Linked DNA regions of Coturnix japonica. The protein of the gene in region 1 interacts with the protein of each later gene in a pairwise test. Links are inferred from orthologs where the notes say so. Each region holds a gene or a part of one and is shown in the gene's direction. Other genes may lie near its edges.

Region 1 (4,121 bases):
CGCTTCAGCACCCTGAGTTTGTGGCCTGCTAGAAGGGAAGGGTTCCCTGTGTCCCACACTTGGGCCCTGGGGCTCTCTGGTCCATGGGGATGGAACAGTGCTGGGCTGTGCCTGGGGGCCTGGGCTCCATTCAGTGCCTTAAACACAGCCTCGGCCGTGAGCACAGCCCTGGTAGGCGCCAGGCCTTACTGGTTCCGCTGCAGGCCTGGCCTCTCTCAATTGTTACACATACTCAATAAAACACTTTAATTTTCCAGCTGGCCCCGGTGTGAATCGGGCAGGGCCCTGGGCTGGGAGTGCGGGGAGGGAGGTGTCCCCATGTCAGTCCTTGTGTTGCTGTGGTTCCTGTCTATGTGTCCCGGCGGTAGCGCTCCGTCTCGTAGTCCCCCACGTTGGCTCCCAGCATCTTGCGGCGGATGTGGAGCTGCTCCAGGCGGTTCTTGTCCACCTCTCTCTTCACCAGCAGGAAGAGGATGATGCCGCACGGCAGCCCGATGGCCCTGGGGACACGGGGAGGGGACACAGGGAGGGACACAGGGAGGGGACGTGACACCGTGTCTCCTAGTGCCGAGCCTCCCCCCCAAGCTTGTGCCTCCCCACTCACCAGGCCACCCCCACCGGCTTCATGGGGTTCTTGCCTTTCTTCCTCGTGGGGATGTACTCCACCCCCTCGGGGAGCCGCCCCGTTGGCTCTGCTGGCTTGGGCGGCACGGGCGGCCCTGCGGGACGGTGGCAGCTCAGTCGGCCCTCAGCCCCCCGCCTGGATATTGCCAGGAGCCCTGGGTGGAGACAGGGCTCGTGTAGGAGACATGGGGGGACACGGGGGGTCCTGCTGCCCCCACCCTGCTACAGCACGGGGGGCGTGGCCAACCAGGAGGGGGCGTGGCTTAATCAAGACGGGGGCGTGGTCAACAAAAGGCGTGGCTTAACCAAATGGGGCATGGCCTATCCAAGATGGCGGCGTGTCTTATGGTGCCACTCACGCACCGGGTGTAGCTGTGTGTCTCTGTGTGTGTGTGTGTGTGTGTGTGTGTGTGTGTCCGCGTATTGTCTCGCTGTGACACACAGCCATCCCTCTGCCCGCCCCCCCCACCTGCCTTTACCTCGCAGTCCGCCGCCAGCCGCCGCCATGTTGGGCCGTGCCGCCATGTTGGGCCGTGCCGCGCTCCCTCGGCCCCGCTGCATGCCGGGAGCTGCAGTCCGCCGCGCTGGGATAGAAAGGGATATGAAGGGAGAGAAAACTGCATTTCCCACAGTGCACTGCGCGGAGAGCGGAAGTCCCTTGTGGCGCTGGAGGAAGAGGCGGGGCGGAGGTGAAAAATCGGGCTGTGATTGGCTGTAAGGGGAAGGCGGAAGTGGTGTTGGTGGCGGCGGGGCAGGCCGGCATGGAGCCCGCGGCGGGGCCCGGCGCGTTGGACTTCCATGGCGACGAGGAGATCATCGAGGTGGTGGAGCTGGGCCCAACAGGGCCGGGTGAGACGGGAGCCCCGCCTCCTCACGGGGCACCGGGCCGCCTCGACACGGGGCTCGGCCTCGCGGTGTATCCCCACCACGGGGCCTTCAGCCCTGCTCCGCCTGCGGGGCCGGGGATGCCCGTTGGGGTGGAGGTGGGCGGGGGGTGACGGTCGGTCCCCGCAGATGAGCTGGCTGCGGAGATGGAGGACGTGGAGTTCGGCGATGAAGGAGAGGAGGAGCCCGACGGGGAAGGATGGGAGACAGAGGACGATGAGGGGCTGGAGGATGGTATGGAGGTGCAGGATGACAGCGAGGTCACGTTCTCATTGCATTCAGGTGAGCCATGGGGGTTCCCTGGGTTGGGAAGCTGCACTGTGTCCCTCTCCTGGCTCTATCAAGGGGATTTGAGGGCTCTCTAGTAGCTGTTGTGCCGTCGGGGGGTTTGACTCTGTGGTGTTTGCATGTCCCCGCTCTGCAGCCTCAGTGTTCTGCGTCAGCCTCGACCCAAAGACCAACACGCTGGCGGTGACGGGTGGGGAAGATGATAAAGCCTTCGTGTGGCGCCTGAGCGATGGAGAGCTGCTGTTCGAGTGCTCAGGTGAGGGGCTGGGGCCAGGCGCCCCTGCTCAAATGGGTCCCATAGTAGGGGACCCATAGTAGGAAGTCTGGGTCTTGGTAGCACTTGCTCTTCCCCAGCTGATGTTCCTCTGGAGCTGGGCTCCTGATTGTTTTCCATATCTGGTGTTTGTTAACAGAATGGTCTGTACTCTTTGCCATCTCTAGGACACAAGGACTCTGTCACCTGTGCCGGTTTCAGTCATGACTCTGTGTTTGTGGCCACGGGTGACATGTCTGGTCTGGTCAAAGTGTGGCGGGTGGACACCAAGGAAGAAGTGTGGTCCTTTGAGGTGGGGGACCTGGAGGTGAGTGGCTGAAGCTCTGCTCCTGATGGAAACGTGGGGGCCAACAGTGGGACCCAGCTCTGGTTCTCCTCCCTTCTGTGAGGACACAACCCTGTGACGCTGCCTGTCCCCTTCTCTGAACAGTGGATGGAGTGGCACCCTCAGGCCCACGTCCTTCTAGCGGGCACGGCTGATGGCAATTCCTGGATGTGGAAGATCCCCAGTGGAGATTGCAAAACCTTCCAGGGCCCTGCATGCCCTGCCACGTGTGGCAAGATCCTGCCTGACGGTGAGGAACAGGGAGGTGGGAGACAAGGGCTGTGGGAAGCTCTGCCTCTATCTGCTCGTTCTGTTTTACCCAGGGAAACGAGCCGTGGTGGGATACGAGGATGGGACCATGCGCATCTGGGATCTGAAACAGGGAACCTCACTGCATGTTCTGAAAGGTGGGAAAGGGATTTTTCACCTGGGGTGCATCCCCCATGCAACAAACTCTGAGCTCTGCCTTGGTGAAGAGGCAGCATGTACAGAGGTTAGAGGCTGCCAGGAGTCTGGTGCTGGGTGCAGTGTCCTCGTGGCAGCCGTCCCTTGCCCTGGGGATGCCACCATGGGGTGGGTGCAGTGCAGATACTGCAGGGTGAGGTGTGCTGGGCTTCGAGGTGCGTGGAGTTTAAGTAGGAATGGGCGTAACTTATTCCTCGTGTTAATCTCCACAGGCCAGGACGGCCACCAGGACCCCTTGACATGTGTGGCCACCAACCAGGATGGCAGTTTGATCCTGACAGGCTCAGTGGACTGTCATGCCAAGCTGGTCAACTCTGCCACGGGCAAGGTGAGTCCGTGCCCACCTGTGGGGCTCAGTAGTGGATATGGATGACCTGTCCAGATCGGGATGGCGCTGGACTTTGCCAGCCAAATGCGATGGCCATCTGGGGCCAGCAGGAGGCGTGCTTGGCCACCACTACCGCCATTTCTCTGCTGCTGGGAGGGTTGGGGCGTGAGGACTCACGTTGTTCCTCCCCCAGGTGGTGTGCGTGTTCAAGATGGAGAGTGCGGCTCCCAAGGCCCCTGTGAGTGAGGGCGAGGAGGCAGAGTCCAATTCAGTGGAGTCGTTGGGCTTCTGTAACGTGTGAGTGGGGCACTGATGATTTTCCTTATGGGATGTTTTGTGGTTCCAGCTCTGATCATTGGGTTGTCCCTCTTCATTTCAGTGCTCCTTCAACCCCGATCCTTCACACGCTTAATTCCCTGCTTACTCCAGGTCCTCATAAAACTCATTCTCCTCTCTGCAGGATGCCACTGGCCGCTGTTGGCTACTTGGATGGTACACTGGCTATCTACGATCTCTCCACACAGACCTTGAGGCACAAATGCCAACATGAGGTACTACCCTGTACCTCATTATCTCTGGGCCCAGCTGCCACCTCTGGTAGCCCAGCGCTGCCTCTTTTAGAGCCTGGGGGGGCTTTCCTGGGGTTGGTTCCCAATTCGTGCTTCTCTTTGCTCGTGGGCTTCCCCTGAGGTAGCTGTGGTCCCACACAGAGGATGTGTCGCATCTTGGTCACGAGGGCTGACCCCTTGCTATGGGGAGGGATGGAGTGGAGTCTGATGGTGTGCTGGGACTGTTACTGAGTGTTATTCCTCCTCGTGCTCATTCCCAGTCAGGAATTGTGCAGTTGCTGTGGGAGGAGAACTCCGCTGTGGTGTATACCTGCAGCCTGGATGGGGCTGTGCGGCTCTGGGATGCCCGCTCAGGGAAGATGA
Region 2 (4,195 bases), on another chromosome or scaffold:
TGTGCTGGGTGCTGGCAAACATCCCCATGCTCGGTCAGAAGAGAGCTCATGGCTGATGGGCTGCAGGCTCTCACCATGCAGTGCCAGCACCCTGCTCATAGCAGACCCTCAGTGCCATTGGCTCTCACTGCTTTTCCCAATGGGTACCCCGACACCATCACAGATTAATGCAATGGTTGGGTTGGATGGAACCATACAGGTCACCCAGCCCCCACCCCTGCCACAGGCTGGCTGCCCCCCAGCTCAAGCTGCCCAGGGCCCACCCATGGTCTTGGGCACCTCCAGGGATGGGGCACCACAGCTCTGGGCAGTGTGTTTTCAAGGCTCAGTCCGAGCTTTGGTCACCACCTGCAGGCTGCTGGGAGGGTGGGGGTGTGTTCAGTAGGAGGGCTCTGGGGATGCCCATCGGGTGCCCGCTGGGTGCCGAGCCGAAGCGCTGCTGCCCTGCATAACCTTCGCCTGCGGCCGTCCTTTAACCTCCGGTGCTGGTAACCCAAAACGAGATTGCTGGAAATGAGAGAGCAGAGGAGTCAGCTATCTGATTCCAGGCCACAGGCACATGCCTGGCCTTCGTGGATATATTAAGTAAGGGACATTTTAAAACAAAACCACCCGCAGTAACCTTATCGTGAGGCTGAAGCCGCAGCCCAGCTGCTAACTCCGAGCTGCCCACACGGGCTCTATCCGATGCTGCTGTTGGGATTTCACAGTGTTTTGCCCCAAATCACCATCTCCGAGCCCTCAGTACAACTTGAGCCCGAACTGCGAGCCCTTGGCTTCTGGGGGGTCTGTAGATAAGTGCAGATCACTGCTGGGCACTGTCTGCTCCTCTCCTGGGACAGCACCTCAGACCCGTGACTGCAGGAAATTTGGCCTCTTTGCTGCATTCTGTACGCCCTGTATGTATGCATTTCTGCGCAGAAATAATTCAGCAAACAAAATCTCGGAGACAAATTGCTGATTGCATCAGCCCCAGCTTATGAAAGCTGATCATAGGGAGGACAATGTAACCCAACTCTCCGCCATCCCACTTGCCGCCCAGGAATGCCATCGCTCCACTCGGATCCTCTTTTTAGGGGGACTCCAAAATCCTTGGCAACATCCCTTAAGGTCATGAGTAAACCCCGAGCCTCGGGACGGCTCGGAGAGAAGGGAGCAGCCAAAGGGCTCCGGCAGCGGGGATTACCGACGCGCCGCGGGAGTGTTGAAGAACGGGAGTCGGGTGCCGAGCTCCTGCCCCGCTCCGCTGCGGGACGGCGGGGCAGAGCCCGAGGGGCGGCCGGGAAGCAACCGGGGTCGGGGCCACCCGGGGCCACGGACCGGCCGCCCCGCCTCCACCCCCCCCCGGCACGTTGCACGGCGGAGCGGGCGGGGGGAGGAAGGCCGCCGCTCGCCGACACGTGAGCCTCATGTGACGGCGATGGAGGGAGGGAGGGAGCGGGGGGGGGAGCCCGGCCAGACGTGCCGGGAGTCACAGGGTAACGCACGTCGCCGCCGTCCACCCACTCGGCCGCATTTAACCCGGCCCTCCGCCTCCCTCCGCTCCTCAGCCGGCGAGGCGGGGACGCGGCATGAGCTGCCCGCGCTGAGCTCCGCACCGCACCGCACCGCTCCGCTCCTCCCGGCTCCCGCGGCACCGCTCCGCTCCGCGCCCCCATGGAGCGCATCCCCAGCGCGCAGCCCCCGCCCGTGTGCCTGGGCAAACTGCCCGCCCTGGAGAGCGCCGATGTGCCGGGGTAAGGCTGCGGGGGGGACAGGACGACACGAGAGCGTCCCCCCGCCGCGGCCCCGGGGACAGGGGTAACCTCGCTGCTTTCGTTTCGCCCGTGCAGGCTGGACTTCGCGCACATGTACCAAGTGTACAAGCCCAGGAGGGGGTTAAAGAGGAGCGAGGACAGCAAGGTAACGGGGTGGGCGGTGCGGGGCGGGGGTCAGCGATCGTTGGGATGGGGGGGAGTGAGAAAGAGAGCTGAGCTTCTGTGGGGTGATGCGGGAAGGGGGGAAGGGGCCTCCACTGGGTAATTCTGGGGGAAATAAAAAAGAAATGCTGCGGGGTGGGGGGCGGAGGGGGTGCGTGAGTATTTGGGTGGGGAGGGGGGGGGAAAGCAAAAGGAAAAGGAAAAAAGAACAGAGGGTGGAATGCGTGGTGGGTTTAGCGATTATTTGGGAAGGGGGAAAAAAAGGAAAGAAGGCAAAAAGACGGAGGGTGGGTGCGGAGCGCTGACCCGCCGCTCCTTACAGGATACCTACAAGCTGCCCCACAGGCTGATAGAGAAGAAGCGCCGCGACAGGATCAACGAGTGCATCGCCCAGCTCAAGGACCTGCTGCCCGAGCACCTCAAGCTGACGGTACGGGCACAACGGGGCTCCGGGCCCGGCCCTGCGTTGAGCGCGCGATGCCGGCGGGGGCAGCAGCGCCGAGGCACGGAGCTGTGCTCGGGGTTGGGCGTCCCCAAATACCCCCGGGATGTGGGGCCGGGGGCTGCCCCGCGGCTGCTCTCTGTGTGTTCCGTCCAAATTCCGGATATTTCTGTTCACAGGAAGCACGACTTGTGCCTTCCCCAATTAGCAGCGCTGCCCCCGAGTCCCTGCCCCAAATCGCCCCCACCTTTGCCGTGGGAATGTCTCCCAGCGCCTATTTCCACCCCCACCCCCGCAGCGTCCAACGCGTTGTGTGCTCTGCCCGCAGACCCTCGGTCACCTGGAGAAGGCGGTGGTGCTGGAGCTGACCCTGAAGCACCTGAAGGCGCTGACGGCGCTGACGGAGCAGCAGCAGCAGAAGATCCTGGCGCTGCAGAGCGGGCTGCAGGCAGGTGCGTGAGTGCAGCGTGCGGGGACACTGCGCGGGGAAGGGATGCCTGAGCCTCTGCCCTTTGATTGCCATCAGTTTCTCTCGCTTTGCTTGTGCAGAGCAAGTGCAGCTCTCCATGGGGTCGGAGCCAGGCGTGCTGTGCGGTCGCTTTCATTTTAAAGTGGATTTGAAGTAGTTTTATTTAAAGCGCAGCTTTGCTGTGATGCCCTCTCCAAAGTCGTTCAGCTCTCTCCATTCATGAGCTTTGGATCCTGGTTCTGCGCTTTCCTTTTCCCCCAGAGCACACAAACACCCGCTGTCCGTGTGCAGATCTGTGTTCCCTCATTCTGCAGGTGGACGGGGCTCAGCACAGTGGCTGCTCGCTCCCTCTGCTTCCTCCTGCTGCTTGCACACGTGGCATTCACATGGCTCTGATAAAGTCAAACTGAGCTTGGCCAACGAGGTGCCACTGCCCTGCAGGGACAGCACCAGGGGAGACCCATTGGCAGTGGGGGCACAGCGTGGCATTGAGGGGTCCTGCTGGGTGTGGGATGCACTGTCTGCTTGTTCCCCAGTGGAAGTGCCAAATGCAGAATTGAAAGATGAAGGGCACGGGTAGAAGTGAATGGAGGGATGTGAAAGTAGCAGGTTGGATTCTGGCGCATAAGTTGTGGGAACTCAGGTTGGCCACTGAGTTTGCTGTGCTGGCTGTGTTGTACCGGACGCGTGCTGTCAGCCTGGAGGTGGTGATGGAAGTATTTGGCGTGCTGTTAATTTTTAATTTCTCCCTGTTAATGTTTCCTCAGGTGACCTGTCCGCGAGGAACCTCGACTCCAGCCAGGAGATGTTCCGCTCTGGCTTCCAGCTGTGCGCCAAGGAGCTGCTGCAGTACGTGGCCAAGCACGACAACAAGGAGCTGAAGGCAGCGCAGCTGGTGGGGCACCTGCACCGCGTGGCGGCCGAGCTGCTGCCGGGCAGCCCCAAGGACCTGAAGGAGAAGACGGTGCCGGGGGGCAAAGCGGGCGAGGGGCGCGGGCAGAACTGTGTGCCCGTCATCCAAAGGACATTCGCTGCCTCCAGCGGGGAGCAGAGCGGCAGCGACACAGACACGGACAGCGGCTATGGGGGGGAGCTGGAGAAAAACGACTCCAAACCGGAGCAGCCCTATTTCCCAAAGGATACCGAACTGAAATACGCCGTCCAGGAGAGGATCAGCTCCATCAAGCAAGAGAGCGAGGACCCTCCGGCCAAGAGGAGCAGGCTGGAGGTGCCTGATGACGACAGCCCCTTTGGCAACGAGGTGATGGGCACTGCGGGCGGCTTCCTGCCCCCCCACGCCCACCAGCCCCCCTTGTGCCTGCCCTTCTACCTGATCCCACCATCCGCCACTGCCTACCTGCCCAT
Region 3 (4,243 bases), on another chromosome or scaffold:
GTCCCTGGGCTCCGGCATGCTCTGCACACACCGCAGCACTGCGACACCCAGCACTGTGCCCCACACCACGCTTCTCCAAGGGAGCTCCCCTTGGCATCTCCTTCCCACCTGGCTTCCCATATTCTCCCTTGCATCGGACAGTCCTTTTTGTCCCTCTGTAACTCTTCCTCCCTCTGCACTGTGGGGTGAGCGCAGTCCTCTGCTAAGCCATGGTCAGTGGGATTGAGGGGCACTCACGTGGTCCAATTTAAAGCAATTCTGACTTGGATGGAGACAAAGGTTGCTGCTGTTCACCTGCTGACCTGTAAAACCAGAAGAGAAATGCTTTTCTTCTCCTCTCCAAATGCCCCTCGTACTATCACCAAGGCTCCTGTGTGAGCAAAGAGGGCAAAGCACACACACCCTGCAAAGCACAGAGCCTGGGAAGGGGCTGGCTGAGCATAGACTGCAGAGATGGATGGTGATACTGGGGGAAAATAAGGCTGAGTGGCCCCTGTATACAACAGTGATATCCCATCAGCCACCCCACTGACAGGGATCCCAGTGCTCCAGCCTCAACAAGGGATCCAGCAGCAGAGCATATGGTGCTATGGGGTGAACACAGAGCTGAGAGAGCCCAGGAGCTCCAAGCCATGAATGCACAAGGAAAAATTAAATGGTGGTTTCAATTTTACCTTTCCAACCAGGCAGATCAGAGAAGGCAGTGCAGAGGGTGAGGACACTCACCCTGCATCCCCACGACGGTGGCTGACATCTGCATGGCGGTGATGGGATGATGATGGCCGCGATGCCCTGTGGAAGACTAGTGATTTTGTTGTTGTATGGCTCATCCCACCACAACAAGTCACAGTCTGCCTTAGGGCGCACGGTCCCTGCGGCGCTTCAAGAGCCTCCCCAGCCCCACGGTGAGGATGAGGACGGTGGTTGGGCTGCTCCTGGATCCATCTCCCACTTCTGATCACCTCGGACGTTGCTTTGATGCAAACCCAGAGCAAAGCAACGAGAGGTCGGTCTGAAACAACACTGCGGCTGCAGATGGAGCTGCCCTATTCACCCAACACTGGGAATGTGAATGGAAACCCCAAGGATGTGTGTCCCACATCACAGCTCTGATACCATCCCCACCAGCAGCTCCCTGCACTACAGCCCTATGGTCAGGGTACATATAGGGCACCCTATAACCAAAATGAAGCACAGGGTTGGGTTAGAAGGGGCTCTAAAGTCAAGTTGCAATCCCCTGCTGTGCATTGCATGGCACCCAGATGCCAGGGTCTCATCTGATGCACCACCAGAATGGGGCATCAAAGCACTTTATAGCCGCAGGACCCTATAGGCGCCCTACAGGCAAAGCATCCGCATTACACTCACGCCACGCCGCCATATTAGCGGGAGGTGTTAGCCCCGCCCCTTCGCGGTGACGCACCAATCACACCGCCCCTATACGAATCAATCTTCATGCACAACCAATAGGAAAGAAGAGGGGGCGTGGCCACGTCAGAACTTGTCCAGGCATGTGAAAGCGGCTACTTCCGGGACGGACACGTGGGAGCTGTGCCGGGCTGCGGAGGGTGAGGGGGATATAGGCCGGGAATAGGGGGGGATATGGGTATGGGTATGGGTATGGGTATGGGTATGGGTATGGGAAATGGGGCTGACAACGGTCTGGGATTGGCTAAAGGGGCAGATAGGGGCTTGGGGTTGGGTAATGAGGAGGGTAGGGCCTGGCAATAGGCAAACAGGGCATTGGGGGTTGTGCTGTAACAAGGATCCCATTGGGTCAGGGAGGGACAGTGTGTATGGAAACGGGACTTAGTGTAATCAGGGAGCAGGCCCATTCTGGGGGTTCAGGGCACTCACTGCTCTGTGCTGCCCGCAGATATGGCTCCAGGAAAAGGCCAGATGACGGTATTGCTGCCCCCCAAAGCTTCTGTGCCCGTCCCAAAGCGCACCCACGGTCCTGCAGGACCTCCCAGCCCCAAAATGACACCGCAGGGTCCTGGCAGCAAGAAGAGGAGCCGGAAACACCAGCGCTTCATGGAGCGGAGGGCGCTGCTGGAGAGGAGGGGGCTGCTGAGACCACACCGACGGGTGGGCACGCAGGGACCCCCGGGTGGGCTCAGCAGTGTGACAACACGTGGCTCGAAGGTCTCCAGGCCGGGGCTCTCTGTGTCACCATCTGCCTCCCCAGATGGCACTATGGGCCGCTGCTCTGGGACGTCCACAGGTAACAGCATCACAGCCATCCAGCCGTGCCTCCCACGTTCCAAGAAGTATGTGGCTATGGACTGTGAGATGGTGGGCACAGGACCCCGGGGCAGGCAGAGCGAGCTGGCACGCTGCTCCATCGTCAGCTATGATGGTGATGTCATCTATGACAAATACGTCCTGCCCCTGCTGCCCATCGTGGACTTTCGTACCCGCTGGAGCGGCATCACCAAGAGGCACATGGAGAGCGCCATCCCCTTCCGTGCTGCACAGGAGGAGGTGAGGTCCTGGCACTGCGAGAGTTAAGGGCTGACAGTTGGGTTTGTGACAGCCTTGCACAGTGAGTCTGCTGTGTGATTTCATAGAGTCATTAAGGTTGGAAGCGTTCACTAAGATCATCCAGTCCACCCCAAACCACTCCCCCCTATGCCCACTAACCACATCCCTCAGTGTCCCATCTCCACTGTCCTGTAACACCTCCAGGGCTGGTGACTCCACCACCTCCCTGGGCAGCTGTGCCAATGTATCACTGCTCTTTCTGAGAAGAACATGAGCTCAGTAATGGGGCTCACTTGTTGCTTCTCATTCCTTGGAAACTGAAAAAGTAAACCTGGGTGCAAAGTGGTTTATTCTATAAAGTGCTTCATCTAACCCGTCTGATGCTTCCAGATCTTGAAGATCCTGAAGGACAAGATTGTGGTTGGGCACGCCATCCACAATGACTTCCAGGCCCTGAAGTACTTCCACCCAAAGGAGAGGACACGGGACACCAGTCGTATCCCACTGCTCAACCAGAGGGCCGGGCTGCCCCCTGGGGCCAATGCTTCTCTTAAGAGCCTGGCCAGACACCTGCTGCAGAAGAAGATCCAGGTGAGTCCCACAGACCTTGCGGGGAGGTGGAGAGTCCCAGTTTGTACAAGTTTATATGGCCAGCCTGGCCCTGTGTTGGTGTGGGGAGGCAGAGACAGTTGCATACATCCCTTGGTGAAGAGATATGAAGAGATACACTCACCTGCTAGATCTGTCCAGTGTTGCATCCAAACCCTCAATTCTTGTTCTTAAGACAAGCCAAGAGTTAGACTCGATGGTCTTTATGATCCCTTCCAACATGGGATATTCTGTGATGATGTTTTGTTCTATGATTCTAAGTGCTGTGGGTTATTTTTGACAGCCGCTTTCCCTAACGGTGCTTCTCCCCTTCATTCAGGTGGGCTGCACAGGGCATTCATCAGTGGAGGATGCGCAGACGGCCATGGAGCTGTACAGACTGGTGGAGGTGCCATGGGAGGCAGAACTGGCTCTCAGCCAACCCCCCCGACCCCCCAGCCCCACAGACCCCGTCACCGACAGCCACCAGTACATGGATGACCAGTACTGGCCCCAGGACCTGATGGTGGGCACCCCGTGACCAGGGACTGCGCTCTGTCCATAGTGTTGGGGACATCCCTGTGCCTTCACCTCTGAGGTGTGGAGGGACACGTGGGGTCCTGGTGCCACCCTGGAGGAGCACAGAGGTGGAATGGGGCTCTTAGGGCACCTGATGCCCTCCAAGGTTTGCCCTCCCTGGTATCATCTTGCTGCTAATAGTGGGAGGGCTGAGGCGAGTGGTTTATCTGAAGGGTCTGTGGTCCATGCTGCACATTGTGGCCCTGTGACAGCAGTTCAGACCTGTTGTGCTGCTGCCTGATTGCTGCAGAGCATCTGGGGCTGATGTTACACCACCATTTTCCTCCCTGGATTCTTTGCACAGTGAAGCCTGTAAAGGAAATCCAGGTCTATAATCAGTTTCTATATCCTGTGGACAAACGGCTTAGAATGCACTTTGTCATATTGGTCCAATTCTGGATTAAAAATGATTATTGCAAAAGCTTTCCATGTGTGTTGGTGTGATCGAGTGCTGTGTTCCAGCACTTCAAGCTCACCTGACTGGCTCTTTGGGGGCCTGATGGTGGCTGGGATAGACAAGTCCTGGTGCTTGGTTCCATGGGGATGGTTCCCCTCTGCTCCAATACATCACAAGGACATTGCAATGGGATCA

The links. The genes of interacting proteins can lie anywhere in the genome.
Region 2: the proteins of AAMP (region 1) and BHLHE40 interact in a two-hybrid assay, tested with the Homo sapiens proteins (2 studies listed by BioGRID and IntAct). The link is inferred for Coturnix japonica from reciprocal best matches to the Homo sapiens genes AAMP and BHLHE40.
Region 3: the proteins of AAMP (region 1) and AEN interact in binary tests that used the Homo sapiens proteins (3 or more experiments, as listed by UniProt). The link is inferred for Coturnix japonica from reciprocal best matches to the Homo sapiens genes AAMP and AEN.

Annotation. Positions count from the first base shown.
Region 1 is NC_029522.1:24,182,363-24,186,483, reverse strand, and holds the start of AAMP (angio-associated migratory cell protein), read left to right. Parts: upstream 1-1,321; 5' UTR 1,322-1,385; coding exon 1,386-1,473; intron 1,474-1,638; coding exon 1,639-1,791; intron 1,792-1,933; coding exon 1,934-2,053; intron 2,054-2,238; coding exon 2,239-2,378; intron 2,379-2,501; coding exon 2,502-2,646; intron 2,647-2,719; coding exon 2,720-2,803; intron 2,804-3,073; coding exon 3,074-3,189; intron 3,190-3,382; coding exon 3,383-3,486; intron 3,487-3,649; coding exon 3,650-3,740; intron 3,741-4,018; coding exon 4,019-4,121. Other genes in the region: probable hydrolase PNKD, read right to left, coding at 392-500, 605-779, 1,104-1,185. UniProt on the Homo sapiens protein: Plays a role in angiogenesis and cell migration. In smooth muscle cell migration, may act through the RhoA pathway.
Region 2 is NC_029527.1:15,937,538-15,941,732, forward strand, and holds the start of BHLHE40 (class E basic helix-loop-helix protein 40), read left to right. Parts: upstream 1-1,395; 5' UTR 1,396-1,656; coding exon 1,657-1,736; intron 1,737-1,832; coding exon 1,833-1,902; intron 1,903-2,241; coding exon 2,242-2,349; intron 2,350-2,689; coding exon 2,690-2,813; intron 2,814-3,597; coding exon 3,598-4,195. UniProt on the Homo sapiens protein: Transcriptional repressor involved in the regulation of the circadian rhythm by negatively regulating the activity of the clock genes and clock-controlled genes.
Region 3 is NC_029525.1:11,789,218-11,793,460, reverse strand, and holds AEN (apoptosis-enhancing nuclease), read left to right. Parts: upstream 1-1,443; 5' UTR 1,444-1,568; intron 1,569-1,876; 5' UTR 1,877-1,878; coding exon 1,879-2,484; intron 2,485-2,874; coding exon 2,875-3,075; intron 3,076-3,412; coding exon 3,413-3,613; 3' UTR 3,614-4,076; downstream 4,077-4,243. UniProt on the Homo sapiens protein: Exonuclease with activity against single- and double-stranded DNA and RNA. Mediates p53-induced apoptosis.